4 linked regions of the Tribolium castaneum genome follow. Each later gene encodes a partner of the first gene's protein in a complex. Links are inferred from orthologs where the notes say so. Each region holds a gene or a part of one and is shown in the gene's direction. Other genes may lie near its edges.

The links.
Region 2: the proteins of mitochondrial import inner membrane translocase subunit Tim22 (region 1) and Tim9a are in contact, whole or in part, in a cryo-EM structure (PDB 7CGP), measured with the Homo sapiens proteins. The link is inferred for Tribolium castaneum from reciprocal best matches to the Homo sapiens genes TIMM22 and TIMM9. Residues at the interface, in NP_037469.2 of Homo sapiens: Asp35, Arg37, Gln38, Pro39, Arg40, Leu42, Gly45, Ser46, Leu47, Gly49, Ile50, Ser52, Pro53, Lys60; in NP_001291414.1 of Homo sapiens: Gln13, Glu16, Phe17, Thr20, Leu57, Thr60, Gln61, Met65, Phe67, His71, Gln74, Asn75, Leu78, Lys81.
Region 3: mitochondrial import inner membrane translocase subunit Tim22 (region 1) and Mulk share a complex: the UniProt entries of both Homo sapiens proteins name them as parts of the TIM22 complex. The link is inferred for Tribolium castaneum from reciprocal best matches to the Homo sapiens genes TIMM22 and AGK.
Region 4: the proteins of mitochondrial import inner membrane translocase subunit Tim22 (region 1) and Tim10 are in contact, whole or in part, in a cryo-EM structure (PDB 7CGP), measured with the Homo sapiens proteins. The link is inferred for Tribolium castaneum from reciprocal best matches to the Homo sapiens genes TIMM22 and TIMM10. Residues at the interface, in NP_037469.2 of Homo sapiens: Tyr25, Ser26, Leu28, Leu29, Gln30, Tyr31, Leu32, Val33, Arg40, Leu42, Leu47, Gly48, Glu67, Glu144, Ser145, Tyr146, Gly148, Ser150; in NP_036588.1 of Homo sapiens: Pro3, Ala6, Gln7, Leu9, Ala10, Ala11, Leu13, Glu14, Val15, Met17, Met18, Ala19, Tyr22, Ser44, Lys45, Gly46, Glu47, Arg53, His62, Glu63, Gly66, Leu69, Thr70, Ser73, Met74.

What each region holds. Positions count from the first base shown.
Region 1 is NC_087401.1:15,999,046-16,002,483, forward strand, and holds mitochondrial import inner membrane translocase subunit Tim22, read left to right. Parts: upstream 1-1,769; 5' UTR 1,770-1,897; exon of another isoform or gene 1,898-1,949; 5' UTR 1,950-2,008; coding exon 2,009-2,398; intron 2,399-2,450; coding exon 2,451-2,609; 3' UTR 2,610-2,674; downstream 2,675-3,438. Other genes in the region: potassium voltage-gated channel subfamily H member 6, read right to left, coding at 167-242. UniProt on the Homo sapiens protein: Essential core component of the TIM22 complex, a complex that mediates the import and insertion of multi-pass transmembrane proteins into the mitochondrial inner membrane. In the TIM22 complex, it constitutes the voltage-activated and signal-gated channel.
Region 2 is NC_087402.1:6,646,243-6,651,090, forward strand, and holds Tim9a (mitochondrial import inner membrane translocase subunit Tim9), read left to right. Parts: upstream 1-1,695; 5' UTR 1,696-2,490; intron 2,491-2,762; exon of another isoform or gene 2,763-3,122; intron 3,123-3,175; exon of another isoform or gene 3,176-3,643; intron 3,644-3,746; 5' UTR 3,747-3,775; coding exon 3,776-3,838; intron 3,839-3,886; coding exon 3,887-3,982; intron 3,983-3,998; exon of another isoform or gene 3,999-4,029; coding exon 4,030-4,167; 3' UTR 4,168-4,217; downstream 4,218-4,848. Other genes in the region: ras-related protein Rab-32, read right to left, coding at 4,218-4,366, 4,414-4,594, 4,643-4,703. UniProt on the Homo sapiens protein: Mitochondrial intermembrane chaperone that participates in the import and insertion of multi-pass transmembrane proteins into the mitochondrial inner membrane.
Region 3 is NC_087402.1:192,821-196,868, reverse strand, and holds Mulk (acylglycerol kinase, mitochondrial), read left to right. Parts: upstream 1-1,849; 5' UTR 1,850-1,876; coding exon 1,877-1,986; intron 1,987-2,005; coding exon of another isoform or gene 2,006-2,031; coding exon 2,032-2,378; intron 2,379-2,422; coding exon 2,423-2,819; intron 2,820-2,967; coding exon 2,968-3,343; 3' UTR 3,344-3,366; downstream 3,367-4,048. Other genes in the region: probable N-acetyltransferase san, read left to right, coding at 1-156, 202-367; derriere protein, read right to left, coding at 464-783, 873-1,044, 1,091-1,468, 1,518-1,718; E3 ubiquitin-protein ligase TRIM33, read right to left, coding at 2,006-2,201. UniProt on the Homo sapiens protein: Lipid kinase that can phosphorylate both monoacylglycerol and diacylglycerol to form lysophosphatidic acid (LPA) and phosphatidic acid (PA), respectively. Does not phosphorylate sphingosine. Phosphorylates ceramide.
Region 4 is NC_087394.1:33,996,690-33,999,710, reverse strand, and holds Tim10 (mitochondrial import inner membrane translocase subunit Tim10), read left to right. Parts: upstream 1-1,495; 5' UTR 1,496-1,635; coding exon 1,636-1,890; 3' UTR 1,891-1,992; downstream 1,993-3,021. Other genes in the region: probable RNA-binding protein 19, read right to left, coding at 2,012-2,179, 2,227-2,335, 2,390-2,506, 2,559-2,761.

The sequences.
Region 1 (3,438 bases):
GAATATCCCAATTTGGGCCAGAAAATGAAAATTTGAATTTTTAATTTGTGGAGATTGGATTTTTCGGCGAAAATGTTTCTCTTGACAGTTGCCCCCACCCCTTAAATTTGGCGCTTCTTAATTAATGTTGTTGATGTGGTTTTGCTGGGCAGTGCTACCAACTTACTGTCAGTGTCGAATTTCCTGATGATTGTTTCAATAAGCGTGGTCCTGGGAGCGACAAGCCCTCTTCGCACCGGCATATCAACAACTACAATGCACACTCGATGATCATTTTTTCGTTAGGAAAAATTCATAGAAACACCAAAAATAAGGCATCCATAAGGCAAATTCAGCGGTTTAAATATAAAATCGCGGCTATTTGTAGCGCTTTAAAAATAAACGCCTTGCACGAAAAATCCGGCGATTTTCACCAAAAGACGACCAAATCTATACGAATTTCGGTAAAAATACACCCCCGAGGGTGCGCGCGCATTGCACTCGAGATTTTCGCGACATTGGCGCGCCTCGAAGCTCAGTGTCATTCAACTGAGCTTTCGCAGGTGGCAGGAATCGGCGCCAGCAGGAAAATCCCGCACTTGCGCACGATTTTGTTGATGTTCGAGGGGTAATAACACGAAATTGAACGATCAAATTTGCAACGGTAGGCAACACGGAATGCGGGCTAATTTTACATCACAGGCGGAAGTGTATTTTTAAATTTTATGGCCGAGGAGAGACAAGTTTTCGGACAAGTTATAGCCGACCAAATGTGCGCAAAATCGACCCACAAACACTACGAAAATGTCCAGAAAATTTCAGACAAATCGGGCCGTAATTAGCTGATGTATTGAGATGCCAAGAAAAGGGGAAAAATGCAAAATCTTGTAAAAAATTATTTTCAAACTCTAAAACTGTGGCAATTACGGGATCATTTTGTACACATTAAGGACTTCCTATGCCATCTATTTCCAGAGTAGTGTTTCACTTTCAATTTTTTTGGTCATAATAACTCAATAAATCCAACGTGTAAAGTTTAAAAAAGGCGAATTGGTTCAAGTTACTGCTACACCACTTTCTAGAAATTATTTTTGTTTTTCTTTAATAACTTTGAAACGGGGTAATCATTTTAAATGATTTGCTATCAGATATTCGACAAAATTTTATTTGTATCTTAGAAGTTTCAGCCAAATAGAGACAAAATTATCTGATATAATAATAATAATAATAATAATAATAATAATAATAATAATAATAATAATAATAATAATAATAATAATAATAATAATAATAATAATTAAACCCATCTTTGCGAAATAATTGTACAATAAAGTACAAAATACATGTTTTTAACTCGGATTTTTTTAATTAAAAATCGAATTTTGTTACTTGACGCAATATAAAAAACTATTTTACTAAATAATCTTCGAGGAAATGTTCGATTTCTGATCACCAAAGTACGTATTACAATTTTTTGTGTTGAAAAAGCGACAAAATGGCCGACAAATAAAGTCAAAATACAATTATTCTTTTAATAAAATTCTTTTTATAAATTATTTTTGATCTATTTTTTTACGTAATAAAAATAATCTATGAGCTTATTTAACGTAATTATTTTATACTTTAAACTTAATAAAAAAATTGGCTTATAGAGACGAGTGCCACCTTCCGGTGTCAATTGGTACCTAGCAAATTCCAAAACAATGTTCCTAGAAATAAAGTAGCAAAGTAGTTCTTATATTACGATCCAAATCATATTTATTTACATACAAATCCCTTAGTATGTATTTCTTAATAATATCAATCCCAAATAACTGTTTCTGAATCTAATTTTTCAAAAAATGTTTTCTGTAATTCTATAGATGTTCTGTAGTAATGGTTTGTATCGCGGCTAAATTCCCACCCGGTCAAATTTAAGGTTATATTCGTAAATTATCTAGAAAACATCCCCCAAAGCCCACTTTTTCCAGTCACATGCGCCCCCAACCCTAAAAAATCACCCCCGTGACAAAGTTTTATAAAGTGAGTCATGTCCCAATCCGACACAAAACGGGCCCTCACCCCCGAAGAATGGTCCTTCCTCACGCACTATTTCGTGGGCAACGACCACCGCTACCGCGAAAACATCATAATCCCCCGCACCCTAGGCCCCGTCCAAATCAAAAGCAATGAAGAAAAACGCGTGGAAGCCTTCTTCGAAAGTTGCCCCTTCAAATCGCTCATGAGCTGCGTCATGGGCTACGGTCTGGGGGCTGCCATCGGTCTGTTCTCAAGTAGCGTGGGGCCCACGGCCACCAACGTGGAGCAACAAACGGCGAGACAAGTCTTCCAAGAAATGAAAAGCACAACGCTGAGTTATGCTAAGAATTTTGCCATGATTGGGGCCCTGTTTTCGGCAGTGGAGTGCAGCATTGAGACGGTGATTTAGAAAAATTGTTGATTTTATGGGGTTATTGGGGTTGTTGTTGCAGATGAGGGGGAAATCCGATTGGAAGAACGGGACGTACGCGGGGGCTGTCACAGGGGGGCTCATTGGGCTAAGGGCTGGGGTTAAGGCGGGCGTTCTGGGGGCGGCGGGATTTGCGGCGTTCTCGACCGCCATTGACTATTACATGCATTCAAGGTTTTAAATTAGTTAGGTAAATTAGTTTTGTAAATATTTAAAATTGTAAAATAAATAAATAATAAAATGACACGAAGTATAAATCTATAACCCAACTCCATTTCCCGAACCATTAATTTTCCTAAAGAGATTGAAAAAATATTATATACACTTTGAGACACTCGCTACGCTCGTGGCATAATTCAAGTAAAAGTTTCAAAATAGTGGTACCTTTGGAAAAAAATATATGAGGCTCTCTGATTTAAAAAGCCGATTTTTTGTTTAGTAATTTAATAGATAATGAGTGCACATAATGCATATTAGAAAGCCCTCCTTGTGTAACAAATTAAATCCATACAGCAGCAGATCGCCGTTTCGCCGAAATTCCGTTTATATAAGTCCAAGTTTACTTTCACCAGAGTTCAAACGCCAATTGTTACGTTTAAAATTGCATAATCTTTGACATTACTAATAATTTTGTAACAAGCCGGCCATAAACAAATATCAACACACGTTTTTATTTCCTAATGACTTGTCCTTGAACGTTGCAGTTTCAAGCGAACAAAACAATAAAACTTACTATTTGCTTGACCAATATTTATTTACACGAAAAAAAATTAAACCTTCTTAGAAATAATAAAATATAATTAATTAAAAATATTTACTATTATTTCGCCCATTGGCGATTATTTCACCAAAAAATGGGTAGGATCGTAAAATCAATTTCCAAATTGGCGTGAAATTTTCACGTTGATATTGGTATTATTTCGTCCGAATAGTCGGAAATACCACTGCACTTTCTGTTTTCGGGAGGTGTATCATAAATGCTGCCGGTACAAGATTCTTCCATTTCTTGT
Region 2 (4,848 bases), on another chromosome or scaffold:
GACACATTTTAAATACAGTAACTATAAATAAAATAAACCACTCAAATAATTTATTGCCACGAAATTTTGCCTTTAATTTCAATGAATGAAAGTGGCTTGCTCAAAATTTAATGCAAATAAACATTTTTTTTGGTTTCATTTTTATTATTATTTTTTTTAATGCTACAAACAGTAGCCAACGTGGAAGCGATATGAAGGTAGGTGTATTTTATTGCTGTGTCGTATTTATTTATTTCACAAACCAATAATTTCATAAAACTTAATTGCAATTAAAATCTTTAAATGCGGAATTGAAAAGTGATATTTTGAGTGACACATTTTAAATACAGTAACTATAAATAAAATAAACCACTCAAATAATTTATTGCCACGAAATTTTGCCTTTAATTTCAATGAATGAAAGTGGCTTGCTCAAAATTTAATGCAAATAAACATTTTTTTTGGTTTCATTTTTATTATTATTTTTTTTTGGTTTCATTTTTATTATTATTTTTTTTAATGCTACAAACGGTAGCCAACGTGGAAGCGATATGAAGGTAGGTGTATTTTATTGCTGTGTCGTATTTATTTATTTCACAAACCAATAATTTCATAAAACTTAATTGCAATTAAAATCTTTAAATGCGGTATTGAAAAGTGATGTTTTGAGTGACACATTTTAAATACAGTAACTATAAATAAAATAAACCACTCAAATAATTTATTGCCACGAAATTTTGCCTTTAATTTCAATGAATGAAAGTGGCTTGCTCAAAATTTAATGCAAATAAACATTTTATTTTGGTTTCATTTTTATTATTATTTTTTTTAATGCTACAAACAGTAGCCAACGCAGAAGCCATATGAAGGTAGGTGCATTTTTTTGCGTTTTATCTTGTGATGTGTTGATTTAATAGCTTGTGTGCCATATATTATACCGTATTGTGTATTCTTTATTCTGTATAATATTTATTAAAGTCGCTTGTTGTAACTTTCCTACAAATTAATTTTTTTGTTGGTTGTGTTTTTAATTTATTTTTTAGGTTTTGCTACAAATGGTAGCAGATGCAGTATAAAGGTAAGAGCATTTATTTAACGCCAAGTGAAAAAGCTTTGATTTTTGTGTACTATTTTTTCATTTCACAAACCAATAATTCCTTTATTCCCTTCATTTGAAGTAATCATTGTTTACCTCATCCTTATATCCATTTTTCCTGGCAAGAATGCTCTAAACCTCCACGTGGTTCTTGCCGGACAAATTAGTTATTGACTAATTTGACCAATTAGAGCAATCCTTAAATATAACATTGTTGACTGTTTTTTACAGCCGTAAAATTATGTCGCTTGTTGTAATTTTCATGCAAATAAAGATTTTTTATTGGTGTTGTTTTTAATTTTTTTTAATGCTACAAACGGTAGCCAACGTGGAAGCGATATGAAGGTAGGTGAAGGTGTCGTATTTATTTATTTCACTAACTAATAATTTCATAAAACTCAAATTTGTGAAATTTGTGACGTTTGTGAAATTTTTACTTGTCAGCCGCGCATCGGCACCACGTTTTTCTTCAATAATCTGAAATTTTAAATCCGCCAATAGGATTTTTTTTTCCCGTAAAACACTAAGGCCATCTATCCGCATCATCAGTAAAACCTAATTCAGTGAGCACAGCTTCCTTGATTAGTGAAGGGAGGTACCCTTTACACGGCTGGTCGCATTGAACAAAAAAAGTGTTTTTTGAGAGCTTACTTTATTGTAGCGCCATCTATTAGTTGCTGCTGAAAAATTCACTTGGTTTCAAACGTGACAGCCGTCATATTTTTTACAAATTTAAGTTTTCAACCTCTTTTGCACAAGATTTATACAAAATTTTGCTAACAGGAAGGCAAGACAAAGCTTAGTTTAATTTTTTTCCACAAGTTTTAATCTAAATTTGAAATGCAAAGCATTTGGACACTAATTACATTTTGTACAGTTGGTTGCAAATGCGTTCCAACACTCTTTTGATCATTTTCGTGAGCATAAAAATGTTTGTTTACCATTCGGCAAAATGTTCAAGTTTGTATGATGCTTTTTACGTTCGTTTTGTGTTTCGCAGTTCGCTCTTGGCATATGCTCTTGGTCGCTCACATGGCAACATGCGCTTTTGGTTCCTCATAGTAAAAACACGTGCCAAATGTTTGTAGAATACGTTTTCTACAACTATATAGCTAAAACTAATGCGTTTTGCCTTAGAAATCTTCTGCACTGACAGCAGTGTGACAACACTTAACCTTAGAACTGTCAGAATTGTTTTACTTTATAGTGGCTCCCTCTCAGAAACAAAAATATGCCAAGGAACTAAGCAATGCGGCCAGCCGTGTGAAGGGAAAGTCCCTTCATTAATCAAGGAAGCTGTGTCAGTGAGAGCTCGATTTGGCTATATCAGTTCGGGATGCCTGTGCAGTTTTCTCTTTTATCCACCTCTTGTCAAGTGACAATCACTGATTTGCATAACCTCACAAATTTACCTCGTGAAAACCATGGGGGTGAAAGTGGGATACGCGCATTGGCAACACGAGAGTATAGGCGAGGGGGGTTTTGCACTCCCGGGGAGATGAAAAGGGACGACCAATGACGACTGCTTATTTTAAAACAAGCGCGTATTTATTAGGGATTTCATTAAATTATATTTTTTGACGTAACAATGACATCTACGCTTGCGCGCAGATCGCACCGAAAATATCGCGCCAAAAGTGTTGTTTTGTCACTCATCGTTCAACGTGTTACCGGAAGTATGTAGCAATTATTTGTTTAATCGTTTAATCAAAGCAAAAATTCTGATTACAGTTCGTTAGTGAGTCAATTCCTGGTGTTGAGCGCCGACCAAAAAGATAAGTATCTCTTATTTTATTAATATAACCTCATCTTTTTGATTGGTGTTTCTTTCTATTTTAAAGGCATTGGTCTGGAGTGACGGATTTTTGATTTCTACTACTCAACTGAACTTTAGTCATGGCTGGTTATCGCAAATATTCCTGCAAATACCCCGGATGCACCAGTGATTATGTTCCCAACAAAGGACAGTCCAATAAGCATTTCTTCACCTTCCCTAAGAATCCAAAGCTTCAAGAATTGTGGAGGAATGCCTGCAAAATTGAGGATCCTGTAAGTTCAAAATTTTGGCGTTTTCGCTATTTAGGGTATTTCAGAATTTACTTTTAAGTTTCTTATTTGCGCTCGAGTGTGTCAGTGCACTGCATGTACCTCCTCGTGGTCGTAGCGTGGGCAACTGTTTGCTGACAGACAAGGTAAAAGTCATTGCAAAGCAGACCTTATTTTGTTTTAAGTCTCGAGCAGACAGGCAAAACATGCCAACACTGACTGATTTAATTTTTTTATAATTTTTGTATAATTAAGAAATAATACAATACTTTAATTTTTTGAAAAATTTAATTTGTTATGTTACTCAAGTGTACAATAAAAATGTTAACAAAATCTGTGTTTTATTACCCCAAAACAACTTTTTTTGTAAGTTTCATTTCAAATTTTGTTTAAAATAAATATAAAACGTTTTCATTTTGTTTAAAATGAAAATATATTTTTTTATTTTAAACAATTTGCAATGAAACTTGTAAGATAAAAATAATAAAAAACAATATAAAAGGAATTTATTCAAACGTGGCACTTTACCGTGGTAGTAACGCACTTCAGCACCAGAGGCGCTGGATTCTCGTGTTGCCAGTGATTTACTAGGGAATTATCACTTCTTAACCCTTTCTGTTCTGTGGTGAAAACCACAACAAAACTTAAATTAAAATGAATGTAACACTTCCCCCCGGTGCCGGGCTCGAAAATGTCGATGCAGAGCAAGTTAAAACGGTAATTTCAAAAAAACAACAATTTCAATTCTCAAATTTTTATTTGCAGTTCAAAGATTTCCTCATCTCTTACAATAAACTAGCCGAATTGTGTTTCACGGACTGTGTTTCGGATTTCACATCTCGGAATATCAAAGGGAGTGAAGTAAGTAACGACTGTCGGTTTCTGATCATTTTATTTTGCTATTACAGGATCGCTGTGCGTTAAATTGCCTCGAAAAATTTCTCAAAGTAAATCAACGCATTTCTCAACGATTCCAGGAGTTCCAAATGCTTGCGAATGAGAATGCAATCGCGGCGGCGCAAAAACTCGGCCAAAATCCGACCTGAACGATAATTTATTTGTGTTTGTTATTGTTAGTTTGTTACAAAATATAGCCTCATCTTTGACAACAGTGTGTTTGATTGTTTTGACAAAACTGAGTATCCTCATTTGCTAAATGGACCACGTCATTGTCTACGGCAGCGGGAAATTGCAAATTTTCGTGATTTTCCACTGCTGCATTTATCAGAGTCAACATTGCCTCATCTGCAATAAAAGATTACTTACCACGCTTGAATAACGCTTATTTTTACCTATGTGGACATTATCCTTCGCTGAAGTGATAAACCACGCTAATATGTTGTATTTCTCGCAGAAATGCACTATTTCTTGAGGCAGGGTTGCAATCGTAATATCACCCTTATTTGCTAGAATCACAACAGGTACGGGAACACCTCCCGGTAAGTGCACTTTTTTGCGCAGATCGAGCAACCACTAGACAAAAAACATGAGGAGAGAATTACAATTTAGGGGTTTTGGTACCTTTTCTACCGATTTAAAAGTCTCAGGTCTCGTCAGATCAAAAACAATAGCGGCGGCAACTCTAAAATTAAACACCTCACGCATGATTCATTGCTTATCTCTAAAGACCGGACTTTAGGCGCATTAATTAATAGAAATACAAAAAAATATTTTTCCCAGTGCTTTAATACCCTCACTGGTGAAGCCACAAAAAGTTTTTTGTTGTT
Region 3 (4,048 bases), on another chromosome or scaffold:
GTGTTGTCGAATTGATACGTCGGAAAAATCTCGTCGTTTGTACATCATGACTTTAGGCTGTTTGTACCCTTACCGTAGACTTGGAATAGGTACATTAATGGTCCAACATGTCTTATATTACGTGGAACAGGATGGCAATTTTGATAGCATATTCCTGTAAGAGTTTTTTTTTATATTAAACCCAATAACACGTTCTTTTAGCCACGTGCAAGTAAACAACGAAGGAGCGATTGATTTCTACAAAAAATTCGGTTTCGAAATCGTCGAAACTAAAGAACATTACTACAAAAGAATAGAACCGGCAGACGCTCACGTTTTACAAAAAACTCTGAGGAAAAAAGGACAAAGCAACGGAAACGCTGAGTAAAACACATTGCATGATTGATTTTTTTGTTACAGTATTTTTTAATTTCAAACACATTGTATAATTGTTTAATAAAGTCATCGTTTGCGTTAAATCTGTTTATCTGCAACCACATGCCGAAATTACCATTTCGTCGTAAAACTTGATCATAACATTGCCAAATCTATCGTAAAACATTATAGGGAGAGGAGCGTATTTTGTGGGGCCACAACAGGGACTTTTACGCCCCAGTTCAGGAAAGAAATTTGTGGTTTTGTGATGGTTTGGTAAGTGGTGGGTTTGATAACACGTGCCGTGGCAATTGTAGGCGTTATAACCAGCTGGTGATATAATAAATTTCATCCAGTTGAGTTTTTGGAAGTCGACGTATAAATCATGTCTTCTGCAAGCGTTACTTTCGGTAATTTCATCATTTGTTCCTACAATACAATAAACATACAGGGTTGGGCGAAAATATGGAGCCAAGTGTTTTGTGCCTAAATTATGTAACTTAGAAAAAATAACTTACCATCACTTCTCGGCGATTCTGATTTTAATATAAGAAAAGTCCTAAACGCGTTTCTATTACTGTCGTTAAAAAGATTAAATTGTTCGTCGTTTGGTTTCGAAATTGTGATAAATATCGACAAATCCGTTGTTTTTTTTATCCAATTATGCAACGATTTGGTTAATTTAAACACCTGGCGATGATTTAAGTGTTGAATGAAAATTCAATATAATTGTTACCTGCCAGCCACTTTCAGCTTGATAAATGTAAATCACATTGAGCAGTTTGTGTGAATCTGGATTTATCAAAGCCGTTTCATTGATATCATTTTCGACTTGATAAAGGCGCAAAATTAGCGATTTTTGTGTCAAATTGGCCTCAACTTTGTGGTAGAAATGTAACTCAACCTCCGCAACGTCCAATTTACTCGAATTAAATTTGATTATGGTTGAATTTAGCGGATTTGCGTTGAAGAGAATGTGAACAGGAGCTGCCACATTTTGCGAATATGCTTCGTAATATTTGTAAATGTATGATGGTAGTTTATTTCGGGTGATGTTGGTCCAATTGTAGTTCCATTCGGAGTCTAAAAGTGGGTGAATGTAGGGTTTAGTGCCCTAAAACAATTTTTTTTCTAATTTACTAGTACTACAACATTATTATTACATTCGTATTTGTGGCAGTTTTACGTGTGACGTTCCTATTATTCCTGAGTTCACTTATTTGAATTGCGGGATAATTCGTTTGATTAAAATTGACACGATTCCGAACCATGAACTCATTTGTAGTTTTATTCAAATTAAAATAATACGTTTTGGCTTCGATTTGGGCTAAAACAAGGAACAAGACCACAGTTATCAACCGCATTTTTCACACAAACTAAATAATTTACCAATTACGACGCCTAACAATCCAGGAAATTGCAAATTCTCTAATTTACGGCAATTTTCAAATTACGCGCCGTCTTGTCCTTGAACCATTCCATTAGTCAAATTTGAGGTTATGCTAATAAATTTAAACAAAACATGACTTTTGTACTAAAAACGGCAAAAACTTTACGCAATCATTGGAAGAAGTCAACGTTTGCAGCCGTGGCCCTACTGTACGGCTTTGAATACGCCAAGGAACGTTTCGAGTGAGTGACATAACCTCACATTAGCCCCCTCAAATTTTATGTTAGGACCCAAGAATTGATGCGTGTTTATTGCGAAAAGGCGGCAAGATTTGGTCTTGAACCAATTCGTGTGGAGGCTGACCCCCGTAACGTTACGGTAATTCTCAACCCCAATGCCAATAAGCGTAAAGCTGGTGATGAATTTGAGAAATATTGCGCCCCCCTGTTGCATTTGGCTGGAATTTGTGTCAATGTTGTTAGGACAGAGTCAGAGGGGCACGCCAGGACTCTTATCAATGATTTAAACGGGACTGATGCTGTGGTTGTGGCTGGGGGCGATGGGACTGTCTCTGAGGTGATAACGGGGCTTTTGAGGCGTACGCAGGAAAACACCAACGGTTTGATTCCAATAGGTTTGTGTTAGTGGGTTTTTGGTGAAAATAATAAAGGTTTGAAGGTGTCTTGCCTTTGGGTAAAACAAATTCTGTTGCTAAAATTTTGTTTCCTTGTGGGAGTCATTTGGAGAAGGTTCGCTCGTTGGCTGATGCCACAATGGCAGTTGTTGAAGAGGTTGTGAAACCTATTAATGTGTTAAAAGTTGAGGTGTTGGAAAATGAAAACAAACCGATTTATGCAGTTTCTGGGATCAAATGGGGGGCTTACAGAGACGCGGAAACTAAAAGAGACAGTTACTGGCTTTATGGCAAATTTCGTAATTATGTGACTTACTTATTTAACGGATTAAGAAATAACTTGTCTTGGAATTGTTCAGCTGAACTTAATTACACACCACCTTGTTCAGGTTGTTCAAATTGTGCGAAACAGTCACAACAACAAAAAAAGTGGTTCCAGAGGTAAGTGGCATTTGTAACTTATTACAAATAATAAAAAAAGTAATTGAATACAAAGTAATCAGATTATATTGTTATTACTTTAATTACATTATAATCTGATTAGACCCCACTTTGGTAAGTGGTACTTACTTTTTGTACAATTATTTAGATTTGCCAAAGACCAAAAGCCGGGTTTTTCGAATATTATTAATCCGGAATGTCAGATGATTTATCAAAAGTATATTTCAACGGTTGATTTTAATCTAGAAGTTGAAAGTGAACAAGTCCCGAAATTGGTGGTCAATGTTGGTCCGAAAAGTGTCAATTATTTCGATTTTGTTAAAGAAGGATGGAAGTCGGAAAAAGGAGAAAAAAGAAAAGTGAGGGAAATAATTGAGGCGAGATCTGTGGAAATTCAACCGAAAATCAATCAAAATGAGGAGAAATGGTTTTCCATTGATAATGAAAATTATGAGCTGAAACCGGTCAGAGTTACGCTATTACCGAAATTAATTAATGTGTTTTGTAAAAAAGAAAATTTGTAAATAAAATAATTAAACTGCCCAAATTGGTTTTCTTTTAACATTTACAAATCGTTAAAAATAAGGTTGAAAGCCGCCGTTTTGATGTAAATTTATTTAAATAACAAAGAAATTAGGAATTCATAGATCGCATAATTTTACACTATCATCATATTTTCTACATTGCTGAGAATCATTGCATTTTTTCCGTCAACTAAATCGTGAATGATTAATTGTAACTGCACATGACGTAAATAAATAAGTGTATCGATAAATACAGTTCTAGTGATTATTCATTAAGTTAAGTATTTACAAAACAACTCTCGAGTTGTTTTTCAGTGCGTTATCTTTAGTCAACCGTTTGCCAAATTATATAAAATCGTACTGAACAAACAACTCTCAAGCTTCATGTACAAACTGGTATTATATTTTGAACACATTTACCACTGTACTTGCGGTAGTGGATTGGTATGGCCCTGGCTTGGAAATTACTTTTTTTTTCTTTCTTCTTGAGGTATGTTTACAACCAAACGGAATCACTTGGTTCAATACTGCTGTACTAAATCTAGTTACACTTGATTGACAAAAAAATAAACTAAAAAACAAAACAAATGATCTGGTGTTAAACAACCAGAGCCAACTTGCATACAGTTAACGGTAAATCATAGGAAACATGTATACATATGTGGTTACTCGCTAGAATTAATCATTAATATTTAAATACTAGGC
Region 4 (3,021 bases), on another chromosome or scaffold:
TAAAACCAATTTTATCTTATAGATTTTGATGTGCTCTTTACGATGTAACAAACCGTTTTCTTCTAGCTCTTTTAGTTTGGCCGTAATCGGCGTTTGAAAATTGAAAAATTTTTTGCGAGATATCGCCTTGAGTCCTATGCCATTTTGTAGAGTTTTTTATTCCGGTTGTTCTCCATTTTTCCGTTTCTCGATATCTTTAATAGTTTCGCCGTAATTGGCAGTTGAAAATTGGAAAAAATTGAAAATGGAAACTTTTTTTGGCGTTTTTCTCGGAAACTGTAAGACTTAGAGCAACGAACAAAAAACCATCTGATAGCGCTTAATTTTATCTATTTTTTCGACCAAACCCGGAGCCGCTCCGGGCAACGGTTCCGGCTACAGAGGCGATCAAAGTTTTTCACTAAAAAAATTCATAAAAAAAAAACTAAAAGTCGTAGAGAATTCCGGTTTGTTCCACTGAATTCTACGGCTCATTTTACATATTATATCGATTTTTCACAAGAATTAAAAATTTAAAATTTTTTGCCTAAATTTAGGGTAGCCATTTGTCATACTGAAAAATTTTATTCATTAAAAAAATTCATAACTCAAAAACTAAAAGTCGTAGAGCAATGCGGTTTGTTCCATTGAATTCAGCGGTTTATTTTCTGTATTATACCAACTTTTCACGAGATTTAAAATTTTAATTTTTTTGCCCAAATTTCCTGAGTAAAATACAGTACCTTCAAAAAGTTGAAAAAAAAAATTTTTTTAAACTAACTTCAGCAAATTTTTATGGACTTCTACATGTCTTAACAACCCACTAAAGTTGTTAAAAGTCCACAAAAAGTCCAAATGTTCGATTTTTTGATGTTTGATTTTTTCAATTTTCGTCGCAGTTTTTGTCGATTTTGGGTACCCGGAACATTTGTCGAGCAATAGCTCCGGAACTATTAGAGATAACCCCATGATGTGTATTATTGTTGGAAAGCTCTTTAAATTATCTATTTTTTTCAAAAAATATTATTGTTCTCCGACTAATAGTTTTCGAGCAAATTGCTGCTAAATGCAAAAATCAAATTTCAACTGACCAAGGGTTAGGGCAAACTAAAATAGATCTCTACTGTGATTTCTATTAGATTTGTTGTAAACCATCCCTTAAATAAATGGAAATCACGTGTAAACTAGACTTTTTGTGCTTCCATAACGCAACGAACGTACACGCAACGTAACCGCAAAAGTCCATGTGAGCATAACCACAATTTTAAAAATTCACGATTTTTGATATTTTTAACAACTCCTAGTTTGTTAAATAATGAGTTAAGGCATTGGTGGAAGTATGCGCTTAGGGACACATGCAAAAATAGGAATTGGATGGTAAGTTCCAAAAGTAGGCAACGACTGACCATAACCTCACTTTCGCACCGAAAAATCGTTTTATTGCAATAATTTGTCGGTTCGCAGGACCATATGTACAACGTTTGGTATTTACTTGTTCTACTTGTCCAAATCCAGTGTTGAGAAAAGGCGTTATGATAATATGAAAATAAGGGAACGCATGCGACTCTCGAACGTTGGTGATTACGAATTGGGTCCTCGTCACACTCCTCGAACTTAATTATCGTTAATAACGCGTCACATTTGCACGGAATTGAAATGGCAGAGAGTGACGCTCAAAAGTTGCAGTTGATGCAAGAATTGGAAATCGAAATGATGGCAGACATGTACAACCGTCTAACTACAGCATGCCACAAAAAGTGCATTCCTCCCGTTTACAACGACGCGGAAATTGCCAAAGGCGAAGCCGTTTGCATTGATAGATGTGTGGCCAAATTTCTAGACATCCATGAACGCATTGGCAAGAAACTTGGCCAACTTTCAATGCAAGACGAGCAACTTCTTAAGAAATAATTGGAGCGCCCCGTAGTTGGACTTAGTTATGTTTTGTTTTTGTTTGTAATTTAATTTTGTAATGTTGGTTTATTCTAGAGGTAATAAACTTGACTAGACAAAGTGTAGTTTTTATTTTTAATTAATCAATGCTTAAAACACTTTTCTTCGACTTGACTGCTTCAGTGGTTTGGAAGTGAGCCGCTGTTCGCTTCCTGATATCGTCCACACTGTCCTCACTTGAGGCCCACTCGAGAACTAGTCTCCGACCGTACAAGTGGGTACTTTGACACAAAGCCTCAAATGCATTCTAAAAAAATAATTATGCTAACAAGTTACAATTAATAATTAATTCACCTTGGCATCAGAGGCTGCCACAAAATCGACAAACGCAAAACCTCGATGTGAGCCCCCATCCAAGGCCATTTTCTTTGGGAGCCTTAACGCTTTAATTTCGCCAAAAACACTAAAACAATTAATTAAGTCATGTTAGTAGTACAATTAAATTTTAATAAAATGCCTAAAAAGTTCCCTAATTTCCTTCTGGTTAGCCTGGAATGGGATATTTCGAACCAAAATCTTGGTTCCTGTTTGTTTCGTTGCTTTGGTGCTTTTTTTAACAACTTTGACCTCGTTGCTAAAATTTAGTAAAATAAGATTAAGCGGAAATAAATTGGACAAGAACAAACTTCAACGTCCGTTCAGATCTCTTCAATTCTAGGGATTTGCCGTCTAGAGTGCTCTGCTGAAGGGTTTTGAGAGCCTTATCAGCGCTGCTTTTATGTATAAACCTAACAAAGCCATATCCCATGGATAGACGTTTACTTGGGTCGTTTTTGTCTTTTTTAGTTGCAACGCTGGCGTACGCAAGTTTGCCACAACTTTCAAAATGCTACAAAAAACATCTAAAAGTATAGAAATACCGAAAACCAAAACTAACAGGCGACTATTAAAAAAAAATAAAAACTGTTCTGAAATGGTATTTTTAAATCGAAAAGGACTGAGTTTTTGAGCACTTTTTTTGAGATAAAAATTATATTTTACACTTATGCAAAAACGCTTAAAGTTCTAAGGTGTCTAGGGTATGCAACTCGCTTACGCTCGTTGCATAACGACAGCCCTTGTGGTTTCGCACTCGTATTATAAATATCT